Struthio camelus: one gene and its partners. The protein of the gene in region 1 interacts with the protein of each later gene in a pairwise test. Links are inferred from orthologs where the notes say so. Each region holds a gene or a part of one and is shown in the gene's direction. Other genes may lie near its edges.

Region 1 (9,817 bases):
AACTAACTACTAGTCTTAAGCATGAAAAAAGTGCCAATAACATCTTACAAAATCTATTTCAACCATGATAACATAGCAGAGAGGAGCAGAAAACAATAATCAAATGTCTTGCTCTACAGTAGCATGTTGCTACTGTTTCAGAGCCCTACAGCTCAGTGCAAGATTGGCTCATTGTTCTTGTGATCAGGATCTACCACGTTGCTGAGGCTTGTTCTGCTCACACCGTGTGTTCCCACTGAACAGGAGTGACATTAAAAACTGACGTAGCTAAATCAACACCACCTGTCACATGAGACCACTGTGACATTTCTGTCATGAACACTACCTCCTAGTAGGAGATGAAGTGGGAAGCAGCAGCAGTTAGTGAATAATGGATTAGATATGCCTGACTTGTAACATTTACAAAGCACTTGGGTGTGTCTCCTAGCTACAGAACAAACTGGTTATCAGAATGGTAACTAAAAGTTCTGTGTTGCCCAAATTGCAAAAACTGAGATAAAGCAGTGTGGCGCATGCAGTTACGGTTTGCTGAACTCTGCTGTGCTGCCCGGAAGGTTGTCCCTCCAAAGTAGATTCTGGATCAGCAAAAGCGTGCATTAGTAAATAAAAGGTGTACCGTAGATGAGAACTGGTGTAGCCAGTTGGCGGCCTGGGGCATGGCATGCCCGTGCTACGTACGGAGTGTGACTGCTGCTGCAGCCGCTGGCTTGCCCATGGCTGTTGATAGAGAACAGCATGCCTGGCAGCAGTGGAGTAGGTTGTGCAAACCAGATACGGGGTTTGTTTAAGTGGGTTGTGAGAAGCTGTAGGAAAGAACAGTGGAGGGGGCAGTGGATGAGGAGGCTGGAGGGGTCTGAAGGCAGTTGTACTATGGATGTGTATTTGCCTATCTTAGTGTGAAGCTGTGTCTGGCTGTCTCCCAGCTGAGCCCTGCTCGCTGACACAGGTTGGGAGCGTTGATTGTCGTGTGGGTCTTGTAGCAATCACAAAAAATCTAGTAACATCCTGAGCTGCAGAGGGTGATACTGAATTAGAACATGAATGTCTTGATAAGGAATGGAAATTAAGTTGAATATTGCATTCCCCTCAGTGACATCCAAAAACGTAAACTGGACAAAACCAGAAACCGAACAACAACTAAAGATACAAGGAGGCAGCATTGCAGTAGGCCATGAACAGCAGTGATTTCCTTTGCATCCTTCATCTCCACTTTCTCTGGACTCCATGTGGCAGAGAGATGCCCCCTGCCATTTTCACCTTGAGCAGCAGTTGTATCTGCTAATGCAACAATAGAACTGTCCAGAAGGATCTGACAAGGTTTCCTGTTTCGACAGCAAAAACCTGGGACTTCTTTCCTTAGCACGTAAAGTGACCGGATCTTCATCCTCCGAGCTTTCTTCCATTGAGAGGAGAGTAGTCGCTTAGCGGATTTGGTGTGGACGGAAGGAAGGGAAAGAAAGGAACTTTGTCAATCCATGACGTGAAATATTTTGTATTAGGAGATTTGGCAAATAGTTCTGTGTGACTGCAAACAGGATGAGATAAATTTCCCAAGGTCAGCTCTCCTGTACACTTGGCTTTCGGGCTAGTCACTGAGAAGTCAATTCTGTAACCTTTACAGCAACATCCTGCCAGTGATGCAGACACTCAGCTATTGTTGGCTTCAACAGCAACTCTTCTGCATCTTCAAAGGACAGGAGGCTGAATAACGTACGTGCTGCATGGTGAGAACTTGAGAGCAGGAAAGTGGGCTTGAAAAATCAATTCTTAATAAAAATAAGGCAGCCTGAGGGGGATCCCAACAAGAACCTTTTCCTCCCTAACTTTTTCCAGGAAACGCTTTTCGCCTAGGGAATTGGAACCTGTTCTTAGGAAAGGGCAATGTTCTCTAGTGAATGAAGCAGAAGGGGGGAATGCTGAGCGCTTAGCTCTCCCTTCTGGCTTGCTATGTGGCTTTGGGTCACTGAACTGTTTCTCAGCTATTTTGTTCTTAAAACAGGATCACTACTGATGTACCTTTCTAACAAGTTAACTGCTGTAACGCTCCTTTTGGGTGCAAAGCTTTGTGTTCCTTGAATCTTCCTGGACGGACCAGTTAGTATCGTGCTCTAAGTTCTTTTGTATAGCCATAAAATAGGCTAAAAAAAACCCCAAGCACAGACCTCTGCTTGTGTGTTTGTTTCCAGTATATGTTTCGTGAGAAAAAGAGAGATCGCATTTTCAAGACAGCAACCTTTGAGTAAACTCAGATCCTCAGAGATCTGGAAGCCATTCTGAGTTCTCTCTTCACACGTAGTTGTCAATAGAGAGATGTGACTGAGCTCCAATGGCAGTGTGCAGACTGTTGGGTTCAGTGCATCTGCACTGCTGTGGACAGCAGGCCCTGGAGGTAAGATTTCGTGGGGAATTGTATTAGTGCCTAAAAGAAACAGAAATCAGCTCAGTCTGTCTCAGCTTTAACTCAAAGCAGGGGAAAACAGTGAATACAGCGATAAAGCAGCCTGTTTTGACCTTTTCAATAGGTGGAGGACAAGACGACTGACCCATTTTACAAAGCCACCTCCCATACTCAAAATGCATGCCAGCTCACTCATGCAAAGGTGGCTCCTTCTATAGGGATGTTACTGGCTGAGGTGGGCTTCCAAGGACGTGCAACTCCTAGCAGCGTCCTAGCAGAACATCCTTGACCTGAGGTCTTGCAAAGTTACATTTGCAAATGTACGCTTTTCCAGTATGAAATTATTGACACAAAGAGGAAAAAGAAGTTAAATGTCAGAAAAGAGTATCATCTCAAAGTTCCTTTTTCTTTCCTAGCATTTGTTACGTATGATTCATTTAAGCAAATAGCTGCTTGAAAAGAATAAAATAGCCTTATATTTTGTGGGGTCAAATAGGTAAATACCTTCTATTTCAAGGCTCCCTGTATTTATTTTCTTAGGAGGGCTCAGAAATGAACCAAAAAGTCCTCAAGTCTCACAGGTCATAGCAGACACTTATCACTGCTTAGTTACAAGTTGTTTCAAATAAAACATCAAACATTTATGGAAGATAAAGGGAGAAAGCAGTGTAAATATTGTTGAAGAAGGATGTAGTATTTAATGCATCAAACTGATGACTCCAGGACACTTTTTCAAGTCAGAAATTAGCAGAGAGCATGTAGCGCAGCTAATAAAATGAGTAAACAGGTGCTGGCTGCCCACAGTGCAGCCCACATTGCTACTGTTGGTTTATCTGATTGCAAACTTAGTGTACTGTAGCAAGATGAATATGTAGCAGTGACGGTTTGGGAAAGATGCTGGAAAGATTGCACACTGATGTTCTTAATCAGTAATTAGAAACTAAAAATAGTATTTTAGTGAAAGATAATAAATCTGTAGCCTTTAATCCTTCTGTGCCAATCTGTAAGCTGATATCATTATTATCTGAAAGGCAATGAGAACATAAGTGAGTAAGCAAGAGTAGGTTGCTATTACAGACACGTTATAAATTCCACATAGCCCAAGCTGTCTAGATGATGTTTGGCTGTATCTGCTGTATGCAAAGTGAATAGTCTTAGGGCAGGTTCATCTGCAAACACAGAATGCATACTTTTATTGGGTATTTCCATGTCTCAGTTGTCCTTATGGACCTGATCGCTTTTTGTCATAATTCTTCAGGAAATAAGTTCTGAGTCCCCTCTGCACTTGGGAGTAGAAGCATTCATTTGAGAAAATGAGCTGAGCGCGAGAACAGGCATGTGGGGAAAGAGGTCCCGGGATGGCAGTGCTGACACACGAGCAGGCTCACTCAACAGCTACCGTGCTGTGCAGATGCACGTTTGCTCTTGCTACAATAATCACAGAGAAAGCGTCCCCAGTTAAACAGGACCTTTCATCTACACACTTAAATACTATGCACCTACTGAGATGTAAGTTATTAACTGTGTTGGTACCTGTGTAAGAATAGTGTTTAAATACTAAACTAAAAAAAAAAACTGAAAAAAATAAATTATTTAAAGTAACTTAGTAGAACCCACCAGCCGTAACCCATCCACCTGAGAAACCTCAACCCATTTCAGAGCGTGAACCACCCCAAACTAGACACAATTGGGTAATATCCCCTGTTAATGGCTTCGCTCAGCCACAAAGTGCAGATGGGAACGAAGGAGAAAAAGCCATCAAAGGCTGGATCCCACTGGAGAAAGACAACCAGAAGTTTTGAACGTGTATTTGGACCGGGTTCTGGGATAGCACGAGGAGCAGGACGCGGCAGGCACTACCGTCTGCCGGGGCTCTGCAACGCGAGTCTCCGGGCGAATTCCTCCTTCCCCAAAGGCTGTAATGGGAGAAAGAGGGAAAGCGATGCAAAGCTGCCAGTAAGACGTCAGCGTGTGGGGAGAAGGGCCCCGCTTTCCAGGCGGGCTTCAGGCCAGCAGGGACGGCGAGCTCTTTCAGCAAGCCTCGACTGCCCCACGTTCCCCTCGCTTGATGCCAGCGAGGCCGAAACGTCTCCGCTGGCAGCCGCCGCTCCCAAACGTTTATCCCCGATGCGAGCTGCGGCAGAGGCGTTTCACAGCAGGCCAAAAGACCGCAGCCGCTTGTTGCCTTCGGTTCCCCCCGCAGGCGCCGGGGCCGGAGGCGCCAACGGCCCTGGCCGGAACCGGCTGGAACCGGCCGCCGCCGCCGCCCCTCGCCTCAGGGCCGCCCGCGCGCGGCGGCAGGTGGATGGCGCCGTCCCGTCCCGTCCGCTGCGCGGCTCCGCGCCGCCTCTTGCCGCCGCCCCGCTCCGCTCCGCTCCCAGCTGACGGGGGCAGCCCCTTGTTTACTGGCCGCGGAGGCAGCCGCCAGCCCGGCCTGCGCTGGAGCCGGAGCTGGAGCTGGAGCTGGAGCGGCCGGGGCCGGGGCCGCGGGGCAGGGAGGGGCCCGCCGCCCCGCTTCCTGGGGCCGCCGGCCGGGCGCTATAAAGGCGGCGGCGGTGCTGCGCAGCGCAGCGCGGGGCTCTTCCCGACGATGCGGAGCCGGAGCCGGGCCCGGCCCCCGCGCCCGCCCCGCCGCCTCTGATTCGCCCCTGCCGGGACGCGCCGAGCCGAGCAGCGGCGGCGGCTGCAGCTCCAGCGACGCGGGCATGGGACCGAGAGCGGCGGCGGCGGCGCTGGCCGTGGCCGTGGTGCTGGCGGCCTGCTGCGGCCGGAGCCGGGCGGAGAGTGAGTAGGGGGCGGCGGCGGCGGCGCGGCCTAGGCGGGCGGCGGGGCGCTGCAGGTGGCGCGGCGGGGCGCCGGGCGCCGTGAGGCGGCAGGGAGGGAGGGAGGGAGAGCGGGCGGGCGCCGCGGGCCCGGCCCTGCCGCTTCCCCCCCCCCCCCCCAACCCTTCCCGCCGCCGTTTTACCCTTTGTACCGGCCGGGGAGCGGCCAGGCCGCGCCGCGGGGCCGTGGCGGCCAGCCGGGGCCTGCGGGGCCGCCCGCGGGGGGGGGGGGGGCGCCTCGGGTCACCTTCACCCCTCGGCTTTGCCTTGTGGGCCCCGAGGTGCCGAGCGGGGGGCTGCTCCAGCCCCCTCCCCGGGCTGGCCGTTCTGCCGTGATGTTTGTTACTGCTCCGGCGTGTTCTGGAGGCTCCGGCTGACTCGGGCTTTGAAAGCGCGTCTCGGATGCGGCGCTGGGGGGGATAATGGTGCCGTCTGCGCCCGGGGGGGGGCTGCCCGGAGCGGGGGTCTCGCCCCCCGCCGTGCTCCCCTGCCGCTGCCCCTTTCGGGCTGCTCTCAAAACGAGCTCTCCTCGCAGAAGCCTTTTTAGCGTGCCGAGGCGTCGCCTTAGGAGCTTGTGTCCTTAACCGCACAAATACTCCTAGGTAGGCTTTCAAATCCGCAGGTATTAGAGGGGGCTGGAGCTTGGTGGTAGGGATCTGCGCGCAAGCCAAGTCTCGCGAAGTACAAAACAGGGGTGTAAAAACGCGTGTTGGAGGTGGCAGGCTTGTGAGCTTCGTGGCTGACGTGAGTTGAGACTAGCCTTGTGAGCTGTTCCGATGGGTTCTCTTGAATAAACTTGCCTAAGGAATTGTTCTAGTTGGACGTTTCTCTTTTGAATTTTGGGGGACGTTCACAGAGTTCTTTTTTATTATTGCTAATTTTTTTTTAGTAAAAGGAAAATATTTGTTTAAATAGGACCGGACACTGAAGTTGTCTATCCCATAGCTGCTACCTGGGAGCTTTCCCACTGGCAAAGGCAATAGCAGGCAGGTAGGCTAGAGCCTGGACGTTGCAACGGTGGAGTCTTTTGAGAGGTGTGTAATGGTGAGGGAATAAAGCAGGACCTACCTTTCAGACAGCCTTTCTTCTTCTTCTTTTTGCCAGCGAGCTGGCAAAATTATGCATTTAAAAAATATGCAATTTCTTCTTCATGTATGCCTTCATGTTAGAAGACTTGAAAAAGACCAGTGATAAGTTTTTAACCTAGGAGGTTAAGCTGTAGCTGGCAAGCATGTACAAACCTGCCCATCTCCAGCAGAAAAATGTAAAAGATAATTGGCATATAGCATTGATAATAAATAACTATAAAATAACTTTAGTCCAGTGGCTCTGAATTTGAAAACACTACCACTACTACATTCAGTCTTCTCTTATCCTGTTCTGCTATTTGGGTTGTAAGTATGTTTATGATCATAGCTGCCCAATCTTTGCTGCATTACTGTGTGGTAGGAGAGTATGCTTTACAATTCATCGATGGAGAAACGGGAGCGATGCACAAGATGGCAAAGCCTGTAGCAAAGCCTGGGATGGAGTGTTTTTATATTGTTCATGTAGCGCGAATACTTTTCGAAGTATTTTACAGACTGTTTGGAATGTGAGGTCCCTAATTCAAAAGATTTTCAGCTTCTTGGCTTTCATTTTCTACTCCGTTTTTCTGAGAATGGTTAGACCATACTGGACTACAATGCGGATCGAAAACAGCACGCTAACATGAAGGCCTACATCAGAGTGGCTTGAAGGGTAAACGCATGTACAATAGTTGCATAAGCAAACAAGTTGTTCCCTGAGCAACGGAACTAATGAAGTCTGCTTTCTTGGAGATTTGTGTCCTGCGTTCTGCACAAACATGCACCCTGATAATGCCACTCTCCAGTGACAATATTCCCCTGGTCTCTAACCATAGCATTTCCTGTGCCTTCTTCCTCCCTTTGCTTCTTCGAGACCGTGCTGTAGTTCCCCTCGTGTCCCGTAAGAGGCTGGGCAAAAGCAGCAGGTAGTACAAAAGGTTTTGAGCTGTGCGTGCAGATGGGACAGTAGACAAGCTGGATGGGTGGTTGGAGTTCACCCTTCAAGCTTTTTCTTAATGGAGTTGTTGAATTTTTCCTCCTTTCCCATCCCTAGTTTTCTTGAGTCTTTTAGGAACATGATGTAGGCGAAAACTTTCCTTTCCCGTTAGACTGAAATTAGTTGGTGTGTTCAGAAGCTACTGAGAGGAGCAGGAGCACGGTTAAGAGAATGAGAGCTGACGTGCGTGCAACGTGAAGATGCACATATCTTGCTTTGTGGAGAAAAACGGCTTTTTTGTTTTTTACCGCTGTGTAAACACAATGCAACTTCATGCAATAACTCTCACCTATGACTCATGCATGTCATTCATTAGCTGTGATATTTAGAGTGGGGTTTACCTCACCTAGTTTTAGGCATCTGCCAATCGAGCAAGTTATTTTGGCCTCCTTTTGTAGCTGTAGAGACCTAATCAATATAGTCGGGGGTATTTAGAGGCAATTCCTCCTCTCCTAAACCATTTGCTTACCTTTGGTCGCTGTACTTGTTCTCCGGTGACTATTGATGACAGTGGGAGTTAGGCATTTAGCTGAGATGTAGGTACCTAAATTAGGGACACATTGGGACAAATTCCACTTCTTACTCTTGTGGTAATGTTCTTTTAAAATAATCTACTTCTAAATTATGCTTCCTGTCTCATACTTTTTTTTTTTTTTTGGTGCTCATGAACTCCTTAAGAAACTGTGGCCCTTTTCCCGTCTCAACTAGTTATTAATTTTTAATGACGAGAGACTCAGCCTAGAGTGAAATTGCTCCCAAGAGTTTAAAGTAGAAAGAATAACTGCAACAGGGCAGGGCTGTGTCAAACCTAGGCAACCGTTTTGTCTGTCGGCTGTCCCCGCGTGCCCTCTGGATGTTCTAGAGACAGGTAGTCCGTTAACTGTCACTGAAGAGTTTGTACATAGTTTGTAACTTCGTTAGTTTGTGAAACCCATAAGCTTTCTGGAGGTCAATTTTGGGATGACCGTCTCGTGGAATATGAGTCATGTTGATATTGGCAACATATCAAATCTGTTCCTGCTCCCTTTGCAGTAAGCAGGATCTTACGGTCTGTTAGTACTGACTTTGCACGCTCCCCTAACTGATCTCCCGTGGTCCAGGGATGCTCTCGCTTCACTGCCTTTTATCTTTGCGTGAAAAACATAGCAGCAGAAATCTTATTTTTTCCATTACTGTTTTTTGATTTTTAACAGGAAGAGCAGGATGGTATAGTAAACTAGGTTTGAGGCAAAGGCACAGAATTCAGTGGGGCTTTATAGGCTTGGTGAGGTTATATATGCTTTTGGCGTTAAAGAAAGCAGTCTCCACGACAGGTTTGCCCTCGGTTCAGCGCTGATCTCTTGACTAGTGGGAAGATCTCGGCCATCTGAGATGTTATCTGGGCAGACCAGAGGCTTATAAACAGACTCGCTTTTAAATGCATATCTGAATTTACTCGGATCTAGATGGCTGAGGTGGAAAATTAAAGTTTAAAAATGAACTTTTCACAATTAGATATTTTTCTATTTACTAAACTATTGTTCCAGTAGGTTGGAAACTGCCTTACTGTCCCTTCTGCTGACCTGTCACTTAACTGGATGTTATCCTGTCTCTGTAGTTATCCCCCGAAACACTTGAAAGCCCTTTTTCCAATTGCCTACTATCACTTCTTATCGTTATAAAGAACTACAAAGCTTTTGATGTGATCAAAGTGAGTGTCGCTTTTCTTCAATAATTCATTTATTCAAATAGGCAGTGAGCACTTTAAAAACGTTGAATTAACTGACAGTTATCTTAAATGGTTTGTCATCTTTGTGCGGATGCTACAGTATCCTGCTCTTGATTGTTAAAGAGCCAGAGCTCTGAAGCAGTGAACCATTAAGGTTTAGTATCCAAACAGTTTACTATAAACAAGGCTTAAGTTCCAGATATTCCCCTGCTTAGACTATATCTTGAAAAGTAACCTCTGACATCAGCTCTAGTTTCTTCATTCGGTACTTAAACTAGTTTGGTAACAACCTTAATTCAAGAGGCTTGGCTGCTTGGGATTTTTGTTTGTTTTTAAAAAGCATGTCTTGCAACTTTTTTCTTGGGGGTCTGATGAAACATGTCTGTAAAGACATTTTTTTTTGTAAGTTGCTTGGAATCGCTCAGTAAGGAGGGATGTAGCGGTTCCTCTCCGACAGCGTAACGCTGTGCTCCTGCACGCGGAGCCTGCTCCTGGTGAAGTTGAGTGGGGTTTGAACAGGAGTAGTTTGGGGCTTACTGCTAGGGAATCGAGCTGAGATTTTTCTTTTCCTGAAAGCTGTTTTCTGTGTGTTTGGAAACAGGTAGTCTTGCTTATAACTTACTGACTTCTCAACTGTGGTCCCTCTCTTCTGGACCAAACCTGACCAGCCTTCATACTGACTTGTTGAATAATTCCCCGGTCCCTGCGGAAGAAGCACTGTGGAGAGAAGCTGTGGAAAAACGCTTATTGCTTTGCTTAAAACTGCTTTTTGTTGTCTTGGTAACAGTATATTTATGGGGTGACTTTAGCAGCTACTGCATGAAT
Region 2 (9,617 bases), on another chromosome or scaffold:
TCTCCTGGTAGTTTAGCGGTAAAGCCATCACAAAAATCTTAAACATATTTTCTAAGTATACTTCAGAAAAATGTCAGGTCCTCATTTAAAAAAAAAAAAAAAAAGAGAAAGAGTTGAACGTCATTCCATAGAAGTAGCTTTTAAAAGTCTCAAAATACACAGAAATTTCTTTTCATTCTATAGGAAGGCCAGCACCTAGTTGTAGCTCCTTTCAAGCTAAGTGGTGTTATTACACTGGCTTAAATGAAGAAATAATTTTTTTTTTCTAGGAGAAAAATAAGTAGTCCATTGAATAAGTCTAATTTCAAAACACACTCAGTACTGCAAGTAACATTTAAAGTGAAAAGTAATTTTAAAATGTGTTATACAGCGTTCAAAACCAAAACGAGGCAGTTCCTTCGAGAAGTCTGTTCATCATATTTGAGGTTCTAGTGCCGCATATTAGCACATACTGACTCATTGCAAAGTCAATTTCTTTTTAATGAATATTTAACATTCAATACAATCTTCCCCAGTCGCACCACCCCTTCAGTACTGAAAAAACATCATAGAAGGAAGATAACAGAGTCTGTCTGACAGAAACAAATCTCTCTGGTTAATTAAAGCTCCTTCTTACTCCCTCATTACTCCCATTATCATACTTATTTTTGATGACATAGTTCAGCTATACAGATGTAAAACTGTTGGTGAAGGAATACAGTATTGTTACTTATATTAATATCTCATGGCTTATGCTTTAAAAATAAAGAGCTTGACAAAAAATGCTATAGTTATTGTGACAGTTGATAGCAAAGCACCTGTACTTATCCTGTAAAGTTTAATGCTACAAAGACAGTCATTAAAAACAAACCTGATCAACAAAACAAAATAAAATAAAAAAAAAAGAATGGAAACAAAATGAGCCTGGTAATAAAATGCCTGTCAAAAAGTGCAGTGTTTTACATTAATTTTACAGTTAATTCCAGATAACAATAAATCACCAAAGAAATCCTGGATGAAAGCTGTGAAGACACAATGGAAGGGAGCAAAAAATCTCACACATGGCAGAAGTGATTTAAAGATTTAGAAGATTTAAAAATATCTTGTACATATGGGAATAGTGGTGGTGTTTGGCTGTACTGGTGGCCTACCCTGTGTCCAAGAAAAGCTTCTCCTGGGAACCACCCAAACAAACACTCCCTCCTACAGCACAAAGAACCAAACAGCAATTTCACCAAGAAAATGGAAGCTCAGTCGACTGAGAACTGTCTCAGCTCACTGAGGGGAAAAGACAGCATTGGGCATGTGACCAACAAATACTGCAAGCTGGGCTGAGGAAGGAAGGGAGCAAAAAGTCTAACCTACAGAACAAGAAGGAGCTCAACACCTGCCATGAATTTTGAGAGCTGCCAACTACAGCAATGGGCAGCACTCTAAAACCCTAAGGAGAATCAAAGGGACACAGAAAAAATAGGAGGGAAGAAGGCAAAAGGGTGAGCTATTTCTATGGGCTCCTAAGTAAAGGATCTCCTCCTTCAAGTGCAGGAAGAAATGGCTCTAAAGAGATTGAGATCTACTAGAAAAGGATAAGCACTAGGGCTCTCTTAGCCAGGGTAAAACCTCCTTTCTCTGCTCAGGAAAAACTGAATTTACTGAGGCTTAACATGGCACCTCGTTAATGTGATAAGATGACTTTCGTAGCAAAGAAAACTTTCATTTTACAGTCTGTTTTACTACACTGAAAGGAGGGGCCTGTCACTGTTATCCTGAGGTTTAAAAAAAAAAAAAAAAAGAAAGAAACACACATCTCAACAACTCAAAGCTTTATCACCAAACGACTATGGGAGCATGACCTCAGTTACCTTGAAAAAAGTGAAGCAGTACCAGTGATTTGGACGGTAACAGATTCATTGACAATTGCCATGGGAAAGCAATTGTTAAGTGTTACAAAAAAGCCAAGCTAAACAGGGGACGTTTCCTTCCACAACATGAATTAAAAACAAAAAAAATCTGTCAGAACATGAAGCTGTAATTGAGAAGGAGAGTAATGACTGAAGAATCATAAGAGAACTAAATTCAATACAACTGGGACTTCACATTCCTTATGAAAATTAAGATTTCAGCGTGAGATAATTAAAGCAAGGATAGCCAACTCATGATGTGCCAAAACATATAACTCAGCTTGTCATCTTCATTCCTGAGAGTCCCTCAGAGCTGGTCAGGAAGCAGGCTGTCAGCCACACAAATCATTCACTAACCCACAGCAGTCTCCCTGCTGCTCTCCTTTAGAGCCCCATAGCCTGCCATTCGTCATGTAGCTGGACATGCCCTAAACACATCCTATAGGCATAATCATTGCACGGAGCATGCCCATTCAGTAACATGACAAAAGGACTTTATGTACATGGGTCCCCATCATACAACAGTGCTCTGATGGGGCCATCGGGCTATGGTCAAGTGATGGCTGCAGATCTAATTACATGACAGATGAGTGCAAGCTCCTGGAGTGCCTCTATTAGGGGATATTGGCTTGACCTGGCAGAAAAGCTGAGTGACAGTGACCTAAACAAAGTGAAGAAAATGAAGTCAGGTGTTGTGAAGCTTGGGACTTGTAATGGGGAAACAAAGATGAGATAATGGGAGAACTTGAAGGAAAAACAACAAACACACACTGTCAAATAACTAAACCTTCATGCAAGTGAATTATTGGGGTGAGGGGGGGAAAGGACAGGAACATCTGGATGACACGAGAAAGAAAAAAAATGTGAAGAAGAACATTCTAACAAAAGAAACACAAGGAGTAAGAAAAAGAAAGATGCTACTTCATGGACTAAAAAGATTGCACTTTTCAGAACTAATGAATTGGCCACTGAAAAATAATACCTGCTAAAAAACAAAGAGAAATGTTAGGATCTTTGCATTACAAAAGAAATTCAGCAGTATTAAACACACATAGTTTTTATCATTAGATTACATTTCCGTATATAGGAGAAATTTAAAGCAAAACAGTGACAAGTACTGTAAAAGGGGAATGCATTCCTCTAAAGAGACAGAGAAATGCGAACTGCACAAAGCAAAGGGGCTTTTGGGGGTAGGGGAGCACATCACGAGATGCAAGCCACTGTAAACTGCAATAGAGAAATAGAGAATCAGGAATAAAGAAGCGTTGCAAAACACTGTGAAATATCACGTGCCAGGTTCACCGAATGCAGCTTAGAACTTTAACAGAGGTATCAGGGATCACTCCTGTCTCTCATTACCTCCCAAACGAATGTTGAGAGAAATACGTAAGATGCAATTTAAGTCTGCTGTTGACAAACATATCAGGACAGTCGTATCAACAACAGATCTTCAAACCATCCAGCTGAAATACAGTGAAATGAATCTGTGGTAAATGAATTCATTATTGCTCCGGAAGACTCTTAGGAATCTACTAGAGCTATACTTAGCTGAATTTTGCTTCCAGAGGCATTTGTTTTTTTCTTTTTCTTCCATTTTAACTGTTTTAAACCAGCTGAAGGATAAATGTGTAAATCATGATCATAAGCTCTAATACACTTGCCTGGCCTCATGCAACAGCACTTTCAAGCCCTTTTTTTCAAAAAAATGAGCAGCCCTCCAAAACCCTCAGAGAAAACAAAACAGATGAAAAGCCACGTGGGAAAACAACAGTCCTGATACCATTTTGGGACAGAGGAAGAAAAGCATGATAGCACTTAAAGGTTTAAAAGAAAATAGCTGATATTCACAGCAATCCAGTTTCAAGATTAACAGTGCTTTCATAACATAGAATTTGAAGTATACCACACTCAATCAGAAAACATTTTTTTCAGAAAACTAATGCATAACACAATCATCAGTGATCATGACCCATTATAAAGTTCTCTAGGATAACTACAAGATTATTTAGACACTTTCAGAAGTTCAACACATGGTTTCCAGACCATACTATTTGCTTTAATCTCAGCAGCATGAACCTTGAAGCAAATGGTACTTCGTAGTGCAAAATTTAGTTCCAACAAAAATTCTTTGCTGATTTAGTTTTTTTGAGAAGCATTTTACTACAGCAAAATAAGCAATCTCATTATCAAGTCACTCTTTTAGCAGTTGGCCACTGCACTGTGTAATGATCATACAGTTTTTATTCTGTGTTTAAAATATTTTACCTTTACTTTTGTCATTTTATTTTAAGGCTGCTCTGATTAGATTCTTTCAAGGCTAACAAGGGCATCTAAAATAGGTATGTTGTACATAATGACATGTATTCTTTTCAGACATTTCAGAAAAATAAAATTCAGGGAAGCATTTTATTTGCAGCTCTTCTGTGCCTAACATATGCATTCACCTTTCACTTAGTGCTTCCTTGGCTGTTGATGTATCAGTTGGCTCATTACTGGCCACCTAGCTATTATCCCAGTAAACTATGGCTTCTTCTCTTCGAGATACTATTTAAATATCCCAACACTTAAGATGTACTTGCTGTTTCACTTCGTCTCTCTTACCTGTTAACCTGTGGCAGTGTTTCCTCCCTGCGATAATCACGACTAGCTGCAGGGTTTTCTTCCTTGCTGTCCCTGTAATAACAGGATTTAAGTGCTTTGACTAACTGGCAATTTCCCTACGAGATAGTCTGATGGGGGGGGGGGGGGTTGTATGTCCAGAGAGATGACTTTGTGGGTCCCCTATCTTTCTAAGTGCTTATTTTTAAGTGCTTACTTTGTGCGTTTCCCATTATCCTATGGACTTACAGAGAAATCGCCTTTTTTTGTTCCCCTTACTTAGGTTCTTCCTGCCTGTCTTCTGACAACGCTTGCATAAAAATCGTCCAGAAGCAATTAGATACCTGCTTCACTTCATTCACGCTACAGCTTGGTTTACCGGCGAGAATCGCAGAACAGAATATCGTTTCTGTGTTCAAAAGTGCCTTCATACAGGCAAACGCACCTGAATTCTTGACACTGAACTTCCAAGCACGCTTCTGTGAAAAGCCACGCTCCGCCCGCAGGCTGTGCCTCCCTCAGCCCACACACCCGTGGCAAAGGCACATTTAACTTTTTTTTTTCCCCCCCTCCCCCCCAGGTAGCTGCCCCACCTGCGCCCAATCACCGTTTTCATTCGGCTGGTCACGGAAAAGCAACCCCGCTTCCCCACCAAGAGACGCGCTCTGGCCAGGCAGGCGGCGCACGTACCCCCGCTCCCAGAGGCGAAGGCAGATGCAGCCGCCCAACCACCTCACAACCGGCCCCGAACGCGGCGCGAGCCGCCCACCCCCTAACGGCTGCCCGCCCCGCCCCGCCGCGCGCACGCCCACTAGCGCCAACGGCAGCCCAACGGCCGGCGCACGTGCGCGGAGGGGCGGGGCCGGCGCGGCCTGGCTAGCGCGCGTGCGCCAGAGCGGGCTGACGACAGAGGAAGAGGCGTTGGGGCAAGGGCGGGGCTTGATTTCAAACCGGGCGGCGGGGAGGAGGCGGTTGGGCCCGGGGCCGCGATGGCCAAGCAGCTCGGCCGGGAGCAGCAGGGCATCACCCTGCGGGGCAGCGCCGAGATCGTCGCCGAGTTCTTCTGTAAGCGGCTGCGGGGGGGGCGCGGGCGTGCGGGGGGGCGCAGGGGGCTGCTCCCCGCCGGCCTTCGGGCCGCCATGGCGGTCGGGGCGGCCTGGCCCCGTTCCCCCTCTTCCCCCCCCACCCCCTGCCTCACCCTGCCCCGACCTCCCGCCGTGTGTTGCAGCCTACGGGATCAACAGCATCCTCTACCAGCGGGGCATCTACCCGCCCGAGACCTTCACCCGCGTCCAGAAGTACGGGCTCACCCTCCTGGTCACCACCGACCCCGAGCTGAAGAACTACCTCAACAACGTGGTGGAGCAGATGAAAGGTGCTGGTGGAGGGCGGGGGGTGCCGGGGCAAAAGGCTGCTCAGGCCTCCTTGCTGGATTTCTGCCTATCCTCTTGCTCATGCTGTGAGTAACTGCTGTGGCTTCTTTCAGAGTGGTTGTACAAGTGCATTGTGCAACGGCTGGTGGTGGTAATCTCAAGTATCGAAAACAACGAGGTTCTTGAGAGGTGGCAGTTTGACATAGAGTGTGATAAAGCTGCAAAGGATGAGAGGTGAGTACCCGTGTTCCTCTGCGCCTGCTCTGGAAACACAGTGCAACCAAGATTGCCCTTCCCAATATGAGTAGGGAAGATTTCTCTTCAAACCTATTACCTAGCCTGCTGCTATTCCTTTTGTTCCTCTCTAAAGCAGTTGTTGTAGTACTGCAGCATACATAATCCTTGTGTGCTGTAAAAACAGTATCAGATAAAAAATGTGATTTTTTTTTTAATCTTCAACAAAACATAAAATTGCATGCCCTTAGAGAGCTAGTTTTGCTTTCCTATTGTTCTGCCAAAATACTTTCTCATTCACTCCACACTGAAGATAACAGCATCTGGCTTTCCTTACAAGTACTGTGAAGCTTCACAGAATTTTCTAAGCCTGTTTACCTAAGACGGAAATGAATGTCCTTGCTACGCAAAGCTAGCCATATAGCAAACAAACCAATGGCAGCATAATATAACACTGTATTTAATGAAAGCTGCTAGTGTGGCAGAAGACTCCTTCCCTAACAAAGCTTTTTTTCTTCTTCTAGTGTACCCCGAGAAAAATCTCAGAAAGCTATTCAGGATGAAATTCGATCTGTTATCAGACAAATAACTGCTACAGTAACTTTCCTGCCTTTGTTGGAAACTGCCTGTGAGTATTCCTGACTTCACTACAGAAATCAAGCACTTCTTGCAGAAAAAACCTGCACAACTTTTCTATTTTAGAAAACCTTTTTGTTTACCTTCTTAGTTTTTTTTATTATGACATGAAATGTCACACACTGTACCATATCTGACATGAGATTGAAGTTTGTTAAACAGATCACATCTCCTGCAACTGTGCATAAAACTGAAAAGGTATGTCAAATCAAGTATTTCATCTTAAAGAATTATTCCGTACTGCTTATTCTACAACAAACAGTAAAAATCATTAAGGTAAATGCTGTTCTCATTGAAGAACTTAAAGCAACTTCATTTGAAGGGACTAGTGGTACGTTCTGCCCTGAAACACTTATAAAACTTCTTTTGTCAAAACGACAGAACTCAAGGTGGTTTAACTGGCTTAATGAAACCAGCAAGTATACTTGGTACTCTATATAATTCTGTATGACAACAGCTGTGAATAGACTTTTATGAACACAAAGCACAGAATCTATCTGAAGCAACTACTATGAAGAACTCAGCTGCTTTAACCCAGTATTTTTTTTTGAAGAGATGTTAAATTCAAACCTTTGTTTAAATAGAAAACTGTCTACTAATCTGATTGTAGCCAGGACTTTCCATTTTTAAACATGCTTCCTTCACATAACTAGCATCACCGTAATACCTTAAACTTCTACTAAAGTCTCATCTTCTAGAAGAGGCACTTAATCTTCAAACAAGCTGAGTTTTACGCATGTTTTACTATTAACTTTTCCCCTCTGCTTATAGGTGCCTTTGACTTGCTGATTTACACAGATAAAGACTTGGCAGTGCCAGAAAAGTGGGAAGAGTCAGGGCCACAGTTCATAGCCAATTCAGAAGAGGTTCGTCTTCGCTCCTTCACTACCACAATCCACAAAGTGAATAGTATGGTAGCTTACAAGAAGGATTCATTTCCTTAAGATGTACTTTTTGTCATCGGTATCCTGTCTTGTGGAGCTGCACTGTGAACAAACTAAGTAATCAACAGAATCCTGTTACTGTGGCTGAGACTAAGTGTAATACAGAAAGAAGACAAAGCATTCTTCTATGATTACAGATACTGTGATGTCACACTAGTCTAAACCGTCATCCTTTTCAGGAGGTATATACAGGATTTAACTATCGTTAGAAACTACTTATGCTTAACAGTCAATGGTGTGTTAGGCTATGCTGAATCAGCTAGAGACGCTGCCTAAAGGCAGGATCAGTTGCTGGAACGGTCTTAAGAGCTTAAGTTACAGGATCTTAAGATTAAAATATAGAGTTCCATTAGCACTCTTCAAGTCTCTCTTTTGGTATTTAAAAACCCTGCTCTTAGCATACCAGCTTTTCATGGTAAAAGTCTAGGTTGTTGTTACTATAAACAATCCTAAAACTAATCAACAGAAAAATTCTATGTATAAAAGTTACTTGTACCTCCTAACCATTGAAAGCAGCTGTTTATCAGAAAAATCAAATGTGCAAAGTCATGTATATTAATGACTCTTCTCGACTATGTAGTTTTTGAGGATCTTGTTCCAGATTGGTGTGTACCTATTTCTTCAGTGTCTGTCAAATATCTATGTTCGTATTTGTGTCTTTACAGAATAAAGTTGTGCCAGTTTTCAAGTGTTCTTTATTTCAAAGTTTGTTGCTCCATATGTTAGATGGTCTATATACTCCAGATCATAGTAGGTACTTCTTAATATTCACTTTTATAGCAGCAAACTCATTTAAAGTATAAATAGTTTATAACAACAGATGGCATTGTTCCAGAACCTAGAGAGTTGCATTTATTGGCCCAGGTCATAAGTCATACAACGTAAGAGTCTTTCAAAAGTTTTTTTAAATTTATTTAAAAATCACTGATCTTATATATTCTATAACATGGCTGTAGAGTTGATGGGCTTTCCTACTGGAGAACAGTTGATCTCCAGCAGTCTTGACATACTAAAGGATGTCTTTCAGGTTGGGCTAAGTTAACAGCACAGAATCATGGCTTCTAAAATAAGTATGATTCATGTACTTCCAGAAATGCTGTTATATTTTTCCCCACCAGTGCTTGTGCTGCAGTAACTGAGGAATACAGCGAGTACTATTTTGCTGACAGGAAGAGAAAATAATTGTAAGCAGGTGACTGTAATACCTGCGTATACCTGAGAAGTGCACTTCATCAGCAAGTGCAGTTTCAAGCACTTAAGGAGAACTGGATCAAAGCAGTAACAATGCAAATAAACTGCCAAAGAAGTTTAAAACAATACATGACAACCCATGCTTGTTGCCAAAGTTAGGGGCAGGAGGTGGCGGATACAAAACTGTAGTAAAGCATCTAAAAAATGTGTTTTGTTGACACACAGAAATGGGCTTGCTCCAGAAAGTTCAAGTCACCTCTTTGTTGCACCAAATGCACCTTTTCTTCTTCCTCAACATAGGCCACCATAACACACTTTAGTAAAAAGCCAGCAACAGTCAGGAGAGGGTTGTAATATTTCATAGCACAGAGCCAGATGTCCATGAAAACTACATTTGACAAGGAACAGCTCATAAATCCTAAAGTTTTCACAAAGACCCTGCAGAACACGAGACCAAAAAAAAAAAGTTTAACAGTCAATTTAAAACAGCCTCCCTTAAGTCAGGCCTTTAAGAAGTCCAGTAGTATTTGCCAACGCCTGACAGGCCCCACAATCTTCACATTGACAGCCATTCTCATTTCCCTACAAGTACTTAAGTTTCCTCTGCCTTGGACAGTCACTTTTGTACAAGGAAGAATCAAAAACAAAGGAGTCCTTCTCATCTCCGATGGCAGTAGAGCTACTCTTAGGAAACCAGATAAAGGGTAAGATTTAGAAGTTACCCTACAGGTGTTCCTCACCTCATCAGTTCAGCTGACGTA
Region 3 (9,876 bases), on another chromosome or scaffold:
CATCATCCGGGGGTTGCTCTGGAGCATCGGGGCGAAGACCGGCTACGGAGGAGGAGAGACCACGCGCTGGGCCGGGGGTGCTCAGCCCTGGCCAGGTGTAGCGCCTCCCCCATTTGCTGTACTGCATCTTTCTTCACTTCTATTGTGTCACCCATCTGTACCACGTTCTTCCCTGTTCCCGCTCTCCTTGTCGATCCTTGTCGCGTGCTGTCTGTGTCGCAAGTCTCTCTGGTGGACTGTACTATGTTCCCCCTTGTCCGACTGTTGCATTCCTATCCACATAACTCCAGCTTAGCTTTAGGGCATCTTTCTTCACCTGCCTGACACCCTGTGATTGCCTGTAGCGTTTTGCTGCACCTGGCTCGTCTGCCTGTAGCCTCGTCTGGTTGTATCGCTCGGATCCAGCCACGTCATCCAGGTACAGTGCTGAGTCACTTCTCTCCTCTTTGTGCCACAACCCCATCCCCATCCAGCTGTACCACACCCCTCCGCCTGTACTGTGTTCTGTGTGTTGACAATGTGCTTGCCTGTAGCACACCACCCTTGTCTGTATCACCCGCTGCCACAGCCCCTCTTCCCTGCCTGTCTCACACACGCACGCGCCCTCGTCTGTCCCGCATCTCCAACCCGCTCCCCTCCCCGTCCGCCTGTACCTGCGAGGGGTAGTGAGCCATGGGCTGCATCATGGCAGGCTGCCCCGTGAACTGCTGGGGGTTGTAGGAGATGTAGGAGGAGTACGGGGTGGCCGCCACCAGCGGAGGCCCCGCCGCCGCCGCCGCCTGCATGATGGGGGGCGCCGATGCCGGCTGGTGCTGGTCCGTGCGCTGCGGGGGGAGCGACCCTGCTGGGGGGAGGACACACACGGACGGAGGCTCAGGGCGGCCCCGGCCCCACGGGCGACGTGGGGCCGGCGCCACGGGCGGGCAGGGGCAGCGTTCGCTCACCTTTGGCCCCCCGGTACTTCCCCTGTTGGCCGGGCACCGAGTTGGAGACGGGGTAGGGGTACATCTGGGGCGCCTGCGGGGAGGGAGAGCTCAGGGGGGCGGCCCGGACGCCTGGGTCCCCCCCGCCCCCCCGGCTCGCCGCCGCCCCCCGGCTCACCTGCACGGCGGGGCTCATGTGGATCTGAGGTATGTAGGAGATGTACTGGGGGCTGTACATGCCGCTCTGCCCGGCGGCGAGCACCGGGATGGAGGGGGTGGAGTGGGTGCGCGGCCCCGGCGAGGTGGGCGTGCTGGCGGCCTTGTTCTGCGGGGAGAGCGCGGGGTGAGCGGGGCCGCCCCGCGCCTCCCCCCGGCCCCCCCCGGCCGCCCCCGCCGCCGCTCACCACCGCCAGCAGCGTCTTGGAGGGGTTGAACTCCTTGGCGTTGGGGTTCAGCGTCGACTTCTTCACCTGCCTGCGACGGAGGAAGAGGAGGGGGCAAGCAGTGAGCCGCGGCCCTCCCCACCCCCCCGGCGCCCCCCGCCCCTCCGCGCCACCGCCCAGCACTCACTCCGAGACGGGTCCCTCCTCCTTGTCGTCGCCCTCGCCCTTGCCCGGGGGGGTGCCCGGGGGCCGCTCGGGGCCGCCCTCGCCCGCCTTCTCCTCCTTCCCGCCGTCCGGCGGCGGCTCCGCGGCGCCCTTGGGGCCGGGGCCGTCCTCGGGGGCCTTGCCGCCCGCCGCCTCGGCGCCCTTCTCCTTCCCTTTGCCCTCGGGCGGCTCCTTGGCCCGAGGCGGGAAGGGCTCCAGGCCGGCGTCCGGGGCGCTGCTGGGCTGGAGCTGCGGGCGGAGGGCAGCGTGAGCCCCACGGCCGCCCCGCGGCCGCCCCCCTCCTCCTCCCCGCGGCCTCACCTTGAACTGGGCGCCGAACTTGCGCAGCTCCTCCAGCTGGCTCCGCTGCTGCTCCGTCTGCAGCCCGGCTGCGGGGAGAGCGCGGGGTGAGGTGGGGGGGCCGCCCCGGCAGCTGCCCCCCACCCCACCCCGGCCCGGGGCCGCTCACCTTTGCCGGGCGCCTTGGGGGGCTCCGGGGGTCCCGGGGCCTCCAGGGCTCGGCCGGCGTCCTTGGCCGCCGGTGCCTCCTTGGCGGGGGGCGCAAAAGGGGGGGCACCGCCGCGGTCCTTGCCGTCGGCCGGGGGGGCCGCGGCCTTGGGGGACGGCGGGTTGGGGGGTGCCGCAGGCTCCAGCGCCGTCCGCGCCTCCCCCGGGGCGGCGGGCCCGGCTGCCGGCGGGTCCTGGGGGGAGGCCGGGGCGGGCACGGCCGCCTTGGGGGAGCGCGGCGGGTACATGCGCCCTGCTGCCGGGAGAGGGGCGGGGGTGAGCGGGGGGGGGGAGCTGGCGGTTGCCCCCCCGCCGCCACCGCCGCCCCCCCGGCCCTTCCCCACCTGCCGGCGGCGCCGGGGAGGCCTCGGCGGGGCGCCCGCCCGGAGACGACGCCGTCTTGGCTCCCCGGATGGGGCGCTGCGACTTCGGAGACATGCGGGACGGCCCTGGCGGGGGCGCAGCGGGGTGAGGAGGGGGGGGCGGCCGAGCCCCCGGCCCGCCCCGGCGCCGGCCCCGCGTCCCGCTCTCACCTCCGTTGATGCCGCGTTGCTCCGGGCCGGGTTCGGCGTGGTGGGGGGCGCCCCGAGGCGGGAGGGAGCCCACCCCGGGCCGCCCGCCGCGGGAGGAGCCGCAGCGCACGCCGCCGCGCGACCCGTCCCGCACGCGCTGCGGCAGCGGGTTGTACTTGCTCTCCCTGCGGAGAGAGGCGAGGGGCGCTCAGAGGGGCTGGGGGCGCTCGGAGGGGCCGGGGGGCGCTCGGAGGGGCCGGGGGGGCCGACCTGGCGGCGGCCAGGCTGGGGCTGTCGCGGCCGGAGCCCTGGCGCTGCACCGAGCTGTGCTTCTCCTCCTCCGTGCGCCCGTCGTCGTTCTCCATGGCGATGCGGAGCCGGTACTGCGGGCTCGACTCGATCTCCCGCGCCAGCTGGGCCGCCCGGGCCTCCCGCTGCCGAAACTCCTCCGAGTTGTCCTTCTCCAGCGGCACCCTGCGGGGGGGGGCCCGCGCGGCGTCAGCCCGGCCAGGGGCTCCCCGCGGCGGCGGCCGGACCCCCTGCTCCCCCCGCCCCGGCCCTGCCGGCGCGCTCACGTGTAGGAGGAGAGGCTGCTGTCGTAGGTGGTCTTCACGCCGTAGGTCTCCTCGTTGAACTTGAACATCTCGTTGGGGTCCCAGCCGTTGGACTGCGGGAGGAGAGGGCTCAGAGGCCGCCCGCGCCGCTCGCCGCCCCCGCCCCGGCCCCCGCCCCGGCCCCTCACCATGTCCGAATCCAGGTCGTAGTCGTCGCTGTTGCTGTCGCCCCCCTCCCAGCGCTGCAGCACCTTCTCCTTGTGCTCCCCGTTCACCTTCGAGTTCATGGCGATGGCCGAGTCGGTGAACTTGTCTGCAGGGGGGGCGGGGGTGAGGCCTGGCCGTCGCCCGCCCCCCCCCCCCCCCAACGCGGCTCTACCGCCCCCTCCCCGCGCACCTTTCGTGGCGTAGTTGAAGTCCACGTTGCGGAAGTGCACCAGCATGACGTCGGCGGGTTTGAAGACCATGGTGTCCACGATGTCCTCGCGCTTGGGGCCGGAGGGCTGGTCGGGGTTGCGCCGGTGCACGGCGTCCACCGCCAGCTCGAACTGCGGGGACGGACGGACGGACGGGCGGGCGTCACGGCGGGGCCGGGGGCGTCAGCCCGAGGCCGGGGCCGCCGCTGCCCGCACTCACCTTGGAGCTCAGCGTCTTGAAGATGCCCTCGAAGGTGCTGCCGTTCTTCACCTTGACGTCGCAGGTGGAGCCCTGGGCGGGAGAGGGGGAGGCGATGGACCGCGGCCCGGCCCGGGCGCCCCCCAGCACCGCAGCTGCCCCCCCCAGCGCCGGGACCGCCCCCCCCAGCGCCGGAGCCGCCCCGCGGACTCACCACCACGGCCGTCAGGAAGTGCAGCATGCGGGAGTTGTTGTAGACGCCCTCGAAGACCTGCGGGGAGGGGGGCGGAGGGGTGAGGGGCTCCCCCAAACCAGCGGCCCCCGCGCCGCCGCCGCCCCCCCCCGCCCCGAGCTCGCTGGTCACTTACCGGCGCCTGGGGGGGCCCCTTCCCCGTGCTCTGGCCCCTGAAACGCAAATGAGGGATGTGCCGGGTCCCCGCAGCCCAGTGGGGCCGGGGGGGTGCAGCCTCCGGGACCGCGGCGCGGGCGGAGCCCGGACACTTGGGTCCCTGGTCCCAGTGATGGGGGGGCCCGGACACCTGGGTCCCTGGTCCCAGTGATGGGGGGGCCCGGACACCTGGGTCCCACTGATGGGGGGGCCCGGACACCTGGGTCCCTCTGATGGGGGGGGCAGACAGCTAGGCCCCTGGTCCCACTGATGGGGGGGTCTGGATACCTGGGTGCCACTGATGGGGGGGGAGTCCTGGACACCTGGGTCCTTGGTCTCCCTGATGGGGGGGGGCCCGGACACCTGGGTCCCTGGTCTCCCTGATGGGGGGGGCCCGGACACCGGGGTCCCCCTGATGGGGGGGGGCCCGGACACCTGGGTCCCTGGTCCCCCTGATGGGGGGGGGGCACACTGGCACTTGTGGCCCACCGGACACCTGGGCCCCTTCCACCCCCTTGGGGGAGGCCGCGGCGGGGGGGGGGGGGCGGGGGCGTCCACCCCCCCACGTGCCCCTTCCCCCCGCCCTGATTGGCCGCGCCGCCGGCCAATCAGCGCCGGGCTCCCTCCTTTCCCCCCTCCCAACCCCTCCAACCCCCCCCTCCAACCCCCCCCTTTCCCGGCCCGGCAGGACCCGGATGTTACCTGGTGCCGCCGCTTCCTCCGGCGCCTCCCCCCCCCCCCGCCGCGCCGCCGCGGGCCGCTCCGCCGCCGGGGCTGAGGCTGCCGTTAGGGCTGGCGGCGGCGGCGGCGGCGGCGGGGGGAGGCGGCGGCGGCGGCGGCGGGGCCTTGCGGGCGGCGGGCGGCGGCGCCGCGGCGGCGGCGGGGGGCTGCGGGGGCAGCGGCTGCGGCTGCTTCAACATGGCGGCGGCGGCGGCGGCGGCGCGGCGTCTCCCTCCCCCCCCGCCCGGGGGCGCGCGCGGGGCGGCGGCGGCGGGTGGCGGCGGCGGGTGGCGGCGGCGGCGGCGCGCGCGGAGCCGGGCGCGGCGGAGCCGACCGGGGAGGGGAGGGGAGGGGAGGGGGGGCCGGGGCGCCGGCGGCCGCAGCGCGCGCGCCTCCCCTCGCGCCCTGTGTCCCTCCGCACAATGGGCGGGGAGACACCGCGCATGCGCGCCGCGCCGGCTTTTCCCTCTTTTTCTTTTTTTTTAATAATAACCCTTCCCCGGCCTCTTTCGCTTTTTGCTCACGTGACGGCGGAGGAAACGCCCCCCCCCCTTCCAGCACCGGCTTCGCTCCACGCGCGTTTCCTCCGCCGGCAGGGAAAAAAAAAAAAAAAAAAAAGTAGTCCCCCCTCCCCTCCCGCCGCGCATGCGCGCCGCCGCCACAAAGGGCGCCGCTCCCGCCCCCTCCGCGCTGCGCATGCGCGGCCGAGGCTACCCGCCTGCCTTCCCCCCCAACCCGCAAAATCCGGCGGCCGCGCATGCGCGCGCCGAAGGGGGTGGGGGGGTGGGGCGCATGCGCAGTGCGTCGCCTCTCCTCGCGGCCGGGTTGGGGGGGGCGGAGGGGCACGTGAGGACACGGGCGCCTCCAGTGAGATCCCTCCGCCGGCCGCATCACAGCGGGGGGGGGGCGCGGGAACGAGTCCCGGCTCCTGCCTCAACCCCGCCGCCCCCCCTTTCCCCCCCCGGCGACTGTCGCCTCTCAGGTACCGGCGGGAAGAGAGGGTGTTGTATGTCGTCGTCCCCCCCCGCGCGGTGGGGTGACCGGGGTCTCCATGGCGACCCCCAGCGCTCGGGGTGGGGGGGGCGCTCTGGCCCCGCCCGCCGCTCCGCGCTAGAGTTTACGTCTCACGCAGGGCGACGCTCTAGTCCTCCACGCGCTGGCTCTATGGTGTTTACGTTAGTACGGAGCGGGGGCTCGATAGCCTCGCCTCTCTATGGTGGCAGCGGGCGGCTGAGACAGTCTAGGCGTGGAAGAAGCCGAACTGGCTCTCTATGGCTCTCTGGGGGCCCTCTGCCTGCCTCCGTCTTCTCAGCTTTATGGTTCTCCTAGAGCCGCTCTAGTTACCCTCAGCCTTCTGCTCTATGATCAGCGGGAGCAAGAGGCGCCGCCATCCCGTCTCTATGGTGAGCAGCCGGGGGAGGGGGGGGAGGGGGCGCTCTGGTCTCCTCGCCCTCTCTACGCTCCGGCGAAGAAGGAGGGGGGACGCTCTGCACCGACTTGCCCCACCTCGATGCTCCCGGGGCGGCCGCTCCGGTCAGTGCTGCCCCCTCCCCACGGTCACTTGGGGGCGCTCCGACCCCCCCGCGCCACCTCGGGAGGCGGAAGCGGAAGAGCGGCGAGACCCGGAAGCGGAAGCCGCCGGGTGTGTGGGGGGGAGGTTGGGTCGGGCCGCCCCCGCCCCTCCCCCCCGCCCCGTTCGCACTCGGGACCAGCGACGCGGAGCCGGGGCGGGGCGGGGCCGCCATGGTCAGCACCGGGGCCGGGGGGGCCGGGGGCGGCCCTGCGGGGGACCCAGAGGGGTCTGGGGGGCCGAGCCGGGGGGCCGGGGGTGGCTGTGGGGGGTCCCGGGGGGGCCTGAGGGGCAGATGTGGGGGCTGTGGGGGGTCCCCGAGGGGCCTGCGGGGAAGATGTGGGGTCTGGGGGGGGTCTGAGATGACTGTGGGGGGTCCCGGGGGGCCTGGGGGGGCAGATGTGGGGGCTGTGGGGGGTCCCCGAGGGGCCTGCGGGGAAGATGTGGGGTTTGTGGGGGGCTGAGAGTGGCTGTGTGGGGTCCCAGAGAGGCCTGTGGGGCAGATGTGCGGTCTGTGGGGGGTCTGAGATGGCTGTGTGGGGTCCCCGAGGGGCCTGGGGGGGCAGATGTGGGGGCTGTGGGGGCCAGGGGTGGCTGTATGGGATCCCCGAGGGGCCTGTGGGGCAGATGTGGGGTCTGTGGGGGGTCTGAGATGGCTGTAGGGGGTCTGTGAGAGGCCTGTGGGGCAGATGTGGGGTCTGTGGGGGGCCAGGGGTGGCTGTGTGGGGTCCCCAAGGGGCCTGTGGGGCAGATGTGGGGTCTGTGGGGGGTCTGAGATGGCTGTAGGGGGTCTGTGAGAGGCCTGTGGGGCAGATGTGGGGTCTGGGGGGGGTCTGAGATGGCTGTGTGGGTCCCAGAGGGGCCTGTGGGGTAGATGTGGGGATTTGTGCGGGGCCAAGAGCTGCCCTGCAGGGTCACGAAAGGACAGGAAGGGTCTGGGGGGCAGATTTGGGGAGTCAGGGACGTCCTTATGGGGTCCTGGGCAGAGCATAGAGGATCGGGGTGGTCCTGCGGGGTCCTGGATGGAGGATGAAGGGTCTGGGGGGCAGATCCGGGGGCTCCAGGGGGTCAGGGCCATCCTTATGGGGTGCTGGGTAGAGGATGAGGGCTCTGGGGGGGAGATTGAGGGACTTTGGGAGGCCGGGAACGGCTCCCGGAGAGCCCGGAGCGGTGCCAGCGGGAGGAGGAGGAGGAGGAGGAAGCTCCGGCGGTCCCGGGCCGACCGCCCCGTCTCTGTCTCCGCAGGTGAGGACGAGCGCGGCCGCCGGGGCAGCAGCGGCGTCCGCAGCGCGTTGGGGCCGCGGGACGCGGGGGCGCCCGGGCCCCCCGGGGCCGCCGGCGGCATGAACGGCAGCGCGGGGGCCGGCGGCGGCGGCGGGGGGGGGACGCCCCCGCCCTGCCCGCCGGCTCCCCCGGGCTGGCGGGACTTCTGCGAGACCCACGCTCGCGCGGCCGCCCGGGACTTCGCCCGCCGCTTCCGGGCCTTCGTCAGCGACAACCCGCAGTTCGGGGCGCCGGGGGCCGAAGCCGCCTTCTCCCGCCGCTTCGCCGAGCACTTCGTGGAGCACTTCGAGGCCGAGGTGACGCGAGCCTGCGCCGGCGGGGACGCCTCGCCGCCCCGCTGCGCCATCGCCCCCTTCACGGGCGCCCACCGCCCCCGGGACGTCTCGGAGACCTGCAGCGAGTCGTCGGTGGCCTCGCCGCTGGAGCCCGCCGCCGCCGCCGTCGCCGCCCCGGGGCTGCCGGGGGGCCAGTCGCGCAGCTCCGAGGACGTGGCCGCCGCCGCCGCCGGCTCCAAGGCCAAGCTGCGCAAGCGCTTCTCCCTGCGCAGCGTGGGCCGCAGCGTCCGCGGCATCCTGCAGTGGCGCGGCGCGGCCGAGCCGCCGGCCGCCGGCCGCGAGCCGCCCGCCGCCGGCGCCAACACCAACTCCAACTCGTCCGGCGGCGCCGGCGATGCCGCCCCGGCCGCCGGCGAGCGCTGGGCCCAGCGCTTGGAGCGCCTGCGCCTCGGCCGAGCCCCCGGCGCCCGGGCCGAGCCCTGCAGCGTCCGGCGCGAGGGCCTGCTCAACTTCATCGTGGCGGACGACGGCGGGCCCGGGGCGGGCGCGGGGGGCCGTGCCCGCTGGCAGCGGTGCCGCCTGCTGCTCAGGAAGGCCGGGAAAGGCGACGGGGACGGCTACGCCCTGGAGTTTTACGTCCCGCCGAAGGTGGGCTCGGGCGGCGGCGGAGGGGGGCAGCGCCGGGATCCGCTCTCCGCCGTCCCCGAGGAGCGACGGGGAAGGGCTCGGGGACGCGGAGGCGAGGGGAACCGGAGCCCCTGGCGTCCCCCGTCACCTCGCCCCGTCCCCAACAGGCCACCAAGGCTCGCGTCAGCATCCTGTGCTCGGCGGTGACGGCCGTGCGCACCACCACGCCGCTGGAGATGCCCGACAAGGAGAACACGTTCGTCCTGAAGGTGCCGGTGGCGGCGGGGGGGGGGTGAGGCGAGGGGGGCCGCGGTGGCAGCAAGCGCTGACCCCCCCCCTTCCTCCTCCTCCTCCTCGCGCTCCGCCAGATGGAGAACTCGCTCGAGTACATCCTGGAGACGGTCGACTCGCTGCAGATGAAGTCGTGGCTGGCCGACATCCAGGACTGCATGAGCCCGGGGTGAGCCCCGCGTGCCCCCCCTCCGCGCCCCGGGCCGCCTCCTTTGCCCCCCATCCCGGCGGCCCCTTTCGCCCGCACTCGCCTCTCTTCCCTCTGCTGCCCCCTCCCCGCCCTCGGCAGCGCTGGCGCGGGTCCCCCCCCCCCAACCCTGTCCCCTCGCCCCGGGGACGGGGCCACGAGCGCTCGTCCCCCCCTCCGGCCCGTGTCCCGCAGGGAGGAGGCGGAGAGCCCGGCCGCCCCGTGCCTGAACCACTCGGAGAGCGTGCCCAGCCGGGAGCTGCCCCTGCTGCCCGGCGAGAGCAGCGAGCACCTGGCGCAGGGTGAGTCCCGGCGCCCTGCGCCCCGGCCCGGCGCCCCCGGCCGGCTCTGACGGCCTCCCCGCCGCCCCCAGGCGCCTACGGCGGGCTCTCCGAGCGCCCCTCGGCCTCCGTGTCGCCCAGCTCCGTCTCCATCGCCGCCTCCCACTTCGACTCCATGGAGATGCTGCCGCCGGAGCTGCCCCCCCGGATCCCCATCGAGGAGGCGGCCGAGCGGCTCCAGGCCCCCTTCCCCCCCGGGCTGCTGCACACCCCCTTCCCCGACACCCCCGACGGCGCAGGTGCGGGGGGACGGGGCACCGCGCTGGGGGTCTCGGGGAGGGTTTGGGGTGTCGGGGTTGGTGCTGGGGGTCTGGGGAGGGTTTGGGGTGTCGGGGTCAGTGCTGGGGGTCTTGGGGAGGGTTTGGGGCATCGGGGTTGGCACTGGGGGTCTGGCGAAGGATTTGGGATGTCGGGGTTGGCACTGGGGGTCTGGCGAAGGATTTGGGATGTCGGGGTTGGCGCTGGGGGTGTTTGGGGAGGGTTTGGGGTGTCAAG

Evidence for each region. The genes of interacting proteins can lie anywhere in the genome.
Region 2: the proteins of INSR (region 1) and MAD2L1 interact in binary tests that used the Homo sapiens proteins (3 or more experiments, as listed by UniProt). The link is inferred for Struthio camelus from reciprocal best matches to the Homo sapiens genes INSR and MAD2L1.
Region 3: the proteins of INSR (region 1) and SH2B1 interact in binary tests that used the Homo sapiens proteins (3 or more experiments, as listed by UniProt). The link is inferred for Struthio camelus from reciprocal best matches to the Homo sapiens genes INSR and SH2B1.

What each region holds. Positions count from the first base shown.
Region 1 is NC_090967.1:5,519,798-5,529,614, forward strand, and holds the start of INSR (insulin receptor), read left to right. Parts: upstream 1-5,032; 5' UTR 5,033-5,103; coding exon 5,104-5,182; intron 5,183-9,817. UniProt on the Homo sapiens protein: Receptor tyrosine kinase which mediates the pleiotropic actions of insulin.
Region 2 is NC_090945.1:20,325,538-20,335,154, forward strand, and holds MAD2L1 (mitotic spindle assembly checkpoint protein MAD2A), read left to right. Parts: upstream 1-5,342; 5' UTR 5,343-5,467; coding exon 5,468-5,543; intron 5,544-5,706; coding exon 5,707-5,853; intron 5,854-5,964; coding exon 5,965-6,085; intron 6,086-6,609; coding exon 6,610-6,713; intron 6,714-7,492; coding exon 7,493-7,665; 3' UTR 7,666-8,348; downstream 8,349-9,617. Other genes in the region: RPL7L1 (ribosomal protein uL30-like), read right to left, coding at 9,601-9,617. UniProt on the Homo sapiens protein: Component of the spindle-assembly checkpoint that prevents the onset of anaphase until all chromosomes are properly aligned at the metaphase plate.
Region 3 is NC_090973.1:100,861-110,736, reverse strand, and holds the start of SH2B1 (SH2B adapter protein 1), read left to right. Parts: upstream 1-5,601; 5' UTR 5,602-5,788; exon of another isoform or gene 5,789-5,938; 5' UTR 5,939-6,209; exon of another isoform or gene 6,210-6,448; intron 6,449-6,450; exon of another isoform or gene 6,451-6,552; intron 6,553-7,621; 5' UTR 7,622-7,719; coding exon 7,720-8,583; intron 8,584-8,729; coding exon 8,730-8,831; intron 8,832-8,930; coding exon 8,931-9,022; intron 9,023-9,235; coding exon 9,236-9,342; intron 9,343-9,413; coding exon 9,414-9,620; intron 9,621-9,876. Other genes in the region: ATXN2L (ataxin-2-like protein), read right to left, coding at 1-42, 654-844, 945-1,017, 1,102-1,248, 1,328-1,397, 1,494-1,759, 1,832-1,899, 1,980-2,273 and 11 more. UniProt on the Homo sapiens protein: Adapter protein for several members of the tyrosine kinase receptor family.